Arabidopsis thaliana: one gene and its partner. The protein of the gene in region 1 purifies or fractionates together with the protein of each later gene. This does not show direct contact. Each region holds a gene or a part of one and is shown in the gene's direction. Other genes may lie near its edges.

Evidence for each region. Proteins that work in one complex are often made in the same cells at the same time.
Region 2: the proteins of RPT3 (region 1) and RPN1A purify together in Arabidopsis thaliana (affinity purification with mass spectrometry; 2 studies listed by BioGRID, with this or other methods). This does not show direct contact.

What each region holds. Positions count from the first base shown.
Region 1 is NC_003076.8:23,567,501-23,571,253, forward strand, and holds the start of RPT3 (regulatory particle triple-A ATPase 3), read left to right. Parts: upstream 1-1,551; 5' UTR 1,552-1,654; coding exon 1,655-2,119; intron 2,120-2,224; coding exon 2,225-2,455; intron 2,456-2,537; coding exon 2,538-2,696; intron 2,697-2,796; coding exon 2,797-2,949; intron 2,950-3,074; coding exon 3,075-3,158; intron 3,159-3,481; coding exon 3,482-3,616; 3' UTR 3,617-3,753. Other genes in the region: AT5G58280 (AP2/B3-like transcriptional factor family protein), read left to right, coding at 1-38, 117-215, 296-360, 434-593, 689-895, 982-1,170. UniProt on the Arabidopsis thaliana protein: The 26S proteasome is involved in the ATP-dependent degradation of ubiquitinated proteins. The regulatory (or ATPase) complex confers ATP dependency and substrate specificity to the 26S complex.
Region 2 is NC_003071.7:8,857,215-8,860,967, forward strand, and holds the start of RPN1A (26S proteasome regulatory subunit S2 1A), read left to right. Parts: upstream 1-1,747; 5' UTR 1,748-1,996; coding exon 1,997-2,113; intron 2,114-2,433; coding exon 2,434-2,534; intron 2,535-2,673; coding exon 2,674-2,794; intron 2,795-2,872; coding exon 2,873-2,932; intron 2,933-3,031; coding exon 3,032-3,142; intron 3,143-3,345; coding exon 3,346-3,411; intron 3,412-3,493; coding exon 3,494-3,615; intron 3,616-3,753. Other genes in the region: GPRI1 (GBF's pro-rich region-interacting factor 1), read left to right, coding at 1-42, 153-308. UniProt on the Arabidopsis thaliana protein: Acts as a regulatory subunit of the 26 proteasome which is involved in the ATP-dependent degradation of ubiquitinated proteins. Required during embryogenesis. Required for optimal plant growth and stress responses. Required for innate immunity.

The sequences.
Region 1 (3,753 bases):
CTAAGACTCTGACTCAGATTACAAAGAAAACGCCTCAGGTTTCGTGTTTTTTCCTTCCATTTCTGCTTCATTCCTAGTCCAATTTTGTAGCTTTACCACAATTTCAGCTTCTTCAGCAGCGTAATCACAAACCCATCGATAAAGCCCTCTTAGCTACTGCTGAACCAAGACGCTCTTCCCGTGTTCGTACCGTAATTTCTTCCTATCGCGATGATGTAATTTTCCCAGCTTTCTCTTACTTCTGTAATAGATTTTTCACAGCAATCAATCAACCCAATCCCTTGTCTCTTTTCAGGTCGTCGTAGACACTGGTCGTACTTCGAATCTGAGGAGATCGCGACATAGCTCTACATGGGCGACGTAAGTGCCCTGCTCCACAATTTTGCCCTAAAAAACTATCCTTTCATCTGATCAATTAGTTAAAATTCATCAGCTACATTTCTCGACCTCTCCATGAGTGCAAGTTTGCATCTTATGAAGAAAAGGTTGGAGCATTCAAGGCTGCAGAGAAGTTCCAGAGGAGCCTTAAATCTCCACATCCTTACTTTGTGAAATCTATGGTTCGCTCCCATGTTTACAGTTGCTTTTGGCTGGTACGTTCGTTCACAACACTTGTGTGTGTTTCTTCTTCAAGGATTTCGTGTTAGTACCTTACTTGACCTACATGGGTTTGCTTGCAAATTTCAAGGGGCTTCCTTCAAGATTCTGTGCAGACAATTTTCCTGAGGAAACTATGGAAATAGAACTAGAGGATGAAGAAGGCGAAGTGTATGAAGCAGTGTACATTGGTAGAAGAGCTGGACTCAGTGGTGGTTGGAAAAGGTTTGCTCTTGATCATAAATTGGATGATGGTGATGCTCTACTCTTTGAATTGGTTGAACCAAAGAAGTTCAAGGTATGTATGTGTCTTGAACAAGAGTCATGTGGTTGGAGTTAGTTGACATTCTCACATGTTGATTATAAAATGTTTGCTTGGTGCAGATCTATGTGTTTAAAGGAAATGAGAACGCTAATCTTACAAGCGCCAGAAAGAGAGGCAGAGCAACGACGCCAAGTGAAGAAGAAGAAGAAGAAGAAGATAAGGATGTTGAAGAATCAGGTGATGAGGAACACAGCTCAAGAGCCACTAAGAGATCATCCGTAAGGTTACTAAGGAAGAGGAAAGCATAAGAGAGCTTTCTTTTGTCTACATGCCCCATATATTTTTTTGGTTTTTGAGTGGGCTGCTAATACTACTAATACTAATGGCATATTTGTAAGTTTATCAACCCAAGGTAAACTTTGTTTTTTTCAATTTGAAAGTAGAACTGAAACTCTGATGAGCGGCTTTGGTTCGGAAATTTAAATTGTTTCCTCTCAGTTTTGGTTACTAGGCGATGATGAGCTATATACTTCTGATGATACCATTTAGACCAACTCCGTCACAAAATAAACAAATTAAAATGGAGAGAGTAAACGGGCTATTAAATATCAAAACTGGGCCTTACTATGACAAAAGGCCCATTTAATCTATTTTCCTTTTATTTAGATGAGTCGGCTCACAAATTAACATTTCTTTTCCTCTACTCCAAAGATATCTCGGTTCGCAAAAGTCTATTTAATTTCATAGCAATCTCACTTTTCTCTTCCCCCACCCTCAAAGATCTCTCAAAGAATGGCTTCCGCGGCTGTTGCATCGATGGTTCTTGACCCTAAAGCATCACCGGCCTTGATGGATCTATCCACCGCAGACGAAGAAGATCTCTATGGCCGCCTCAAATCGCTTGAACGACAACTAGAGTTCACCGATATCCAAGAAGAATATGTGAAAGACGAGCAAAAGAATCTCAAACGAGAGCTGTTACGAGCACAAGAAGAGGTCAAACGAATTCAATCCGTGCCTTTGGTGATAGGTCAGTTCATGGAGATGGTAGATCAGAACAACGGCATCGTCGGATCTACTACTGGCTCCAATTACTATGTCAGAATTCTCAGCACAATCAATAGAGAACTCTTAAAGCCTTCTGCTTCCGTCGCTCTTCACCGTCACTCCAACGCCCTTGTTGATGTTTTGCCTCCGGAGGCTGATTCTAGCATCTCCCTTCTCAGCCAATCTGAGAAGCCTGACGTCTCCTACAATGTAATGTTTCCTTTTTTCCAAATCTCGACTCTGTTTTCTGAATTAAAGTTAGGGTTTTTGAAACGATCTTTGGTTTCTTATGTGGTGCTTTATCTTTTTGTGTAGGATATTGGAGGATGCGATATTCAGAAACAGGAAATTCGTGAGGCTGTTGAATTGCCTCTTACCCACCACGAGCTTTACAAACAGATTGGTATTGACCCACCTCGTGGAGTCTTGCTCTATGGACCTCCTGGTACTGGAAAGACTATGTTGGCTAAGGCTGTTGCCAATCACACAACTGCTGCCTTCATTAGGGTTGTTGGATCCGAGTTTGTGCAAAAGTATCTCGGCGAGGTATTAAAAATCATAGCTTTATTGAAGGTTTAGGTCCTATTGAGCGATTCTATTTGGTGACTAACTGGTTTTTTAATTGCAGGGACCTCGTATGGTTCGTGATGTCTTCCGTCTTGCCAAGGAAAATGCTCCAGCTATCATCTTCATTGATGAGGTAGATGCCATCGCTACTGCTAGGTTTGATGCTCAAACAGGAGCCGATAGGGAAGTTCAGCGTATTCTCATGGAGCTTCTTAATCAGGTGAGAACAAATAATGAATTTTAGTTGTAATTCAGATCTTATGTTGTAGAATAATGGATTTTAGTTGTGTCCTTAACTTATTGTGTTGAATTCGATGTAGATGGATGGATTTGACCAGACCGTGAATGTCAAGGTCATAATGGCAACAAACAGGGCAGACACTCTAGATCCTGCTCTCTTACGTCCTGGAAGACTTGATCGTAAGATTGAGTTCCCCCTTCCTGATAGACGTCAAAAGAGGCTTGTTTTCCAGGTAAGTTAATTACTACAAGCACTTAAATAACTAGTTAAAGAGATATGAAACCAAATGTTTTCTCAAAAGAAAGTTTTGACTGATATCTTAGTTTCTGTCTTATTGATTGGTTTTTCCTTGTGTAGGTATGCACCTCCAAAATGAACCTTAGCGATGAGGTTGACTTGGAAGACTATGTTTCACGGCCTGATAAAATTAGCGCTGCTGAGGTTAGTTTATTTTGCTTACCATTCTATTCTTCCCGCTATAGTTTACTTTTACCATGATATATCCTCCAGTGTTTCTGGGTCACCACCTAATGATGTTCTTCAAAATATGCACTTGAGCATAATCATACTGTTTCAAGCATTATGTATGAATGTTAGCTGAGTCGTTTGTTAATCATTGTCCTGAACTGAATTGTTGAGAAATCAATTGTTGGCAGTAATATGGTTTGATTTTATCATGTACATGGGAATTGTTCCTAAAAAGATTGCATGTAATGATGATAGTTATTAATGACACTATTTTGATTTTATGTTGAACAATGCAGATAGCAGCAATTTGCCAGGAAGCTGGTATGCATGCGGTGCGAAAGAACAGATATGTGATACTACCTAAGGATTTCGAGAAGGGCTACCGCGCAAATGTTAAGAAGCCAGACACGGACTTTGAGTTTTACAAGTGAAGAGAAAGCAGAAGTGGAACCAGATTATGGCTGTTGTTAAAATTCCAGTGTGTTTTGAGAATTATTAAGGACATGGAATCAAATTTGCAGTTAAATTAAGAACTAAGTTGCATCTCCTAATTTCTGTAACTCGAGTT
Region 2 (3,753 bases), on another chromosome or scaffold:
CTTGGATTTGGTGGTGCTCGTCCTCCGGTAGACTTACATCCGGTAAGAATCTAATATAATGAATTGATTGTTGTCGAGTTTTGACTTTTCGCATTTGATTATGTAATTATGTATTTTTGACTTTTTGTGTATATATATTATAAATGGAACAGTCAAAAGAGAGCGTGGATGCAGCCATAGGAGATGTATTGACGAGGCCATGGCTGCCACTTCCGTTGGGATTAAATCCGCCGGCTGTTGACGGTGTTATGACAGAGCTTCACCGTCACGGTGTCTCTGAGGTTCCTCCGACCGCGTCTTGTGCCTGAAACGCACAAGATCCGTAGGCAAGCGAGAACCAAACAAAAATTCGACGACATGTCTTTCAATTATTGTACTTTTATTTTTCCAAGGGTTGTTTTTGTTTTGACCCTTGTTGTGTTAAGAGTTACTCTTTACTTAATCGTCCCATGTGACTAATAAGGAGACCCTTTTCATATGTATCTAGGGTGCTAAGTACACTCTAGCTCTATTAACGCAAATAAATTACCTATATTTTCTCTAACCATTGGTGATTTAGAACTTGATTGCTTATATAAAGTTTTTTTATAAAACATAACACAACAAATTTCCATATCAAATGATCATATGGAAATTGGAAGCGTTCAAAGCAAAGTCGCAAACGACGACCAATTGATTATAAAGAGGACAACCTCACGAGTATATATACACTTATAATTTATAAACATAACTTATACTTAAAAATACCAGCCGGTTATATATGGTGAAAAATGAGTAATGAAATTGTGTGTTTACCATGCATATATTACCGTATAAAAACGTATTGTTGGGATTGAGAGAACAATGGCATAAAATAATAATGAGGAGAGAGGGAGAGGACCACGAGATAAGAGGAGAAGGAAGTGCATGGAGGCAACGTAAAATCCAACGTAACGACCTCTTCTTTCTCCAATTGTGACCACTCTCTCTCTCTCTCTCTCGTCTCCTTCAAATTTGAATGGTCCCTCTCTCTTCATAATTGATAATTCATATACATGCGGATACTATTACTAGCATCTCATTTTCCACTCACACTTGTACACATATGCTTTTTATAAGTACGTATTTATAGGCAAAAGTAAATATATTCAAACCCTACATGCATGGTATTAAAATCCAATATAACCAAAATGAATACTCGGTTCAAATTCAAAAATTTAAAGGACTTTGGTCGAAGATAATGAAGACAAATCATTTTTTTTTGTTCTAACCGGACATTCCAAATCGAAATGCACACTAGTTTTTGGTGCCTACATCTACATTGGCTAACTTTTACTAAAATCATAGTGAAAATAACAAAAAACCATGGTCTCTATAAACTCTTTGGTGAAGATTTCAACTACTAAATTACCATGAGATAGATGGTCAAAAATTGTCAATATTGAATTTACAAGGATCATGAGATATTTCAACAATTTTACTAATGACCAGATCCAATGCAGTGAATTAGACGAAACTATGACTTCACTAGGTTGTGAAAGAAAAGCTTGTCTTGCAGTTTTGTCTGCGACCGGTCGAAAAGAGAATGAAAATATGTCGAAATCCTCTTCAAACGTGAAATAAATTAACTGTCATAAGGATAAATTATGTTTGTTCAACCATACAGAAATATGATGAATAAATAATTTTAGACATGTGGGCCCATGTAAGAAGAACTCACTAAATGAGCCCAATACGGTTAATGGGCTGTGACATTGAAAAAGAGGTTGTAATGGGCTGATTGATTCTATAGTGTAGAAATCTTGATCGAGGGGTTATCTTCTCCGATTCCAATATTTAGATTCTTCTTCATATATTATTGTGCTTTGATTAGAGAGTTGCAGAAGAGTTTTTTTTGTTTTAATTCCTGCAATCAGAGAGTTTTCGATAGCACAAGCACAAGCTTCTCGATTCGTTTGAGTGTTCAAATTTCAAGCTTTTTACAAGGGGTTCCTTAGATTGATCTGTTACTGTAGAGATGGCTCCAACTCAGGATCCCAACAGTGTCGGAGGCGGTGCGAAGAAAGATGAAGCTACCTTGAAGGTTCCGTCTAAGGATCCCAAGAAGAAGGACGAGAAAAAGGATGAGGATTTGGTAAAGTTTCTTCTTTCTCGGTTTTTTGATTTATCGAATCCTTTTTCGACATTGTGTGTCGTGTTTAGTATCTGGGTTCATCAGAAACGAATTAATTTCAAATCTGTAAGATCTGCAGTTAGGTTTTTAATTGGAGTCTCGATCGAGTTGAAGTAGGGGTGTTATAGAATTAGGGTTTTTAATCTGGCAAAGTGAGTGTTTTGTTCGTCATTAGACTAGCCGGATTAGAAAGTTGTTAACTTGTGATGTGAGGAAAGTTTTTTTTGTTTGTATATGGTCACTTTCTTAATGACTCGACTTACATTGGGTTGTGATTGTAGTCTGAAGAGGACTTGGAACTAAAGCAGAACCTTGAGCTCTATGTTGAGAGGGTTCAGGATCCTAATCCGGAATTGCAGAAGGCTGCCCTTGAGAGCATGAGGTAATTCTTGACTTGATCAGCTTCGGGTTTTCAGATTATTGCCACTGAAGCTTGTACAACTTATAAAGCTTTTTTTCTTTCTCTCTGCTCTTGGTGTACATGTTTATGTTTTTAATTAGAGTTTTATTTGGCTTTGTAGGCAGGAAATCCGAGCTTCAACAAGTTCCATGACTTCAGTTCCCAAACCACTAAAGTTTCTGCGTCCCCATTATGGAACTCTTAAAGCGTTTCATGAAACAATGGCTGATTCTGATCTCAAAGTATGTCATCATTGATTTCAAGTCATTAACAATTCTTATATTGGTATGGCTTAAAAATTACATTTGCTATGTTTGCAGAAGTACCTGTCCGATATCCTGTCTGTCCTGGCCCTTACCATGTCTGCAGATGGTGAAAGGGTATGCTTCTACTGACTTGGGCATACTTTGTATTCTGATTTGTATTTTTTAAGGCATACTTTGAACTGCTAATCACTTTCTTTTACAATATAATTCCAGGAAAGCTTAAGGTTTAGATTGATTGGAACAGAGGGTGACATTGGATCGTGGGGTCATGAATATGTCAGGAATTTAGCTGGAGAGATTGCACAAGAGTATACAAAGCGTCAGGTTAGAAATCAATTTTCGATTTTGTCTTTGGAAATTCAGTTTCTCGTCCTAGGACTTGTGCAGATATTCTAAGATTGTTGGAAGTTGTGTTTGGGTTTATCCTTCTGAATTCTGATGGTTGGAGTTTTGAGGAATGACTAAATGTGTCTTATTCAATGAGAAAGGTCACTGAGTCATATTTATCTACCTGTTCATTATCTCAGAGTGAGGAGGCCTCTATTGACGATTTAATGGAGCTTGTGCAACAAATTGTTGCTTTTCACATGAAGGTGAATTCCTAAACTAATAGGGCTTGAGATTAGCACCTCTGCGATTTATTTATTTCTAAACGATTTCATTTACTCCTTGCAGCATAATGCAGAAACCGAAGCTGTTGATCTTTTAATGGATGTTGAGGATCTTGATCTCTTACTTGAGCATGTAGACAAAACAAATTTCAAGAGGACATGCAACTATCTCACAAGTGCAGCTAGGTACTTTAAACATAGTCAATCCTATTTATTTTATTTTTCCTCACTCTTTGTTATTTGAACTGATCTTGTAGAAACAAGTGGTGAGCTTTGTTTATATTTGCTTCCAAAAATCTCTCTGACGTCTTATATATTTGAATT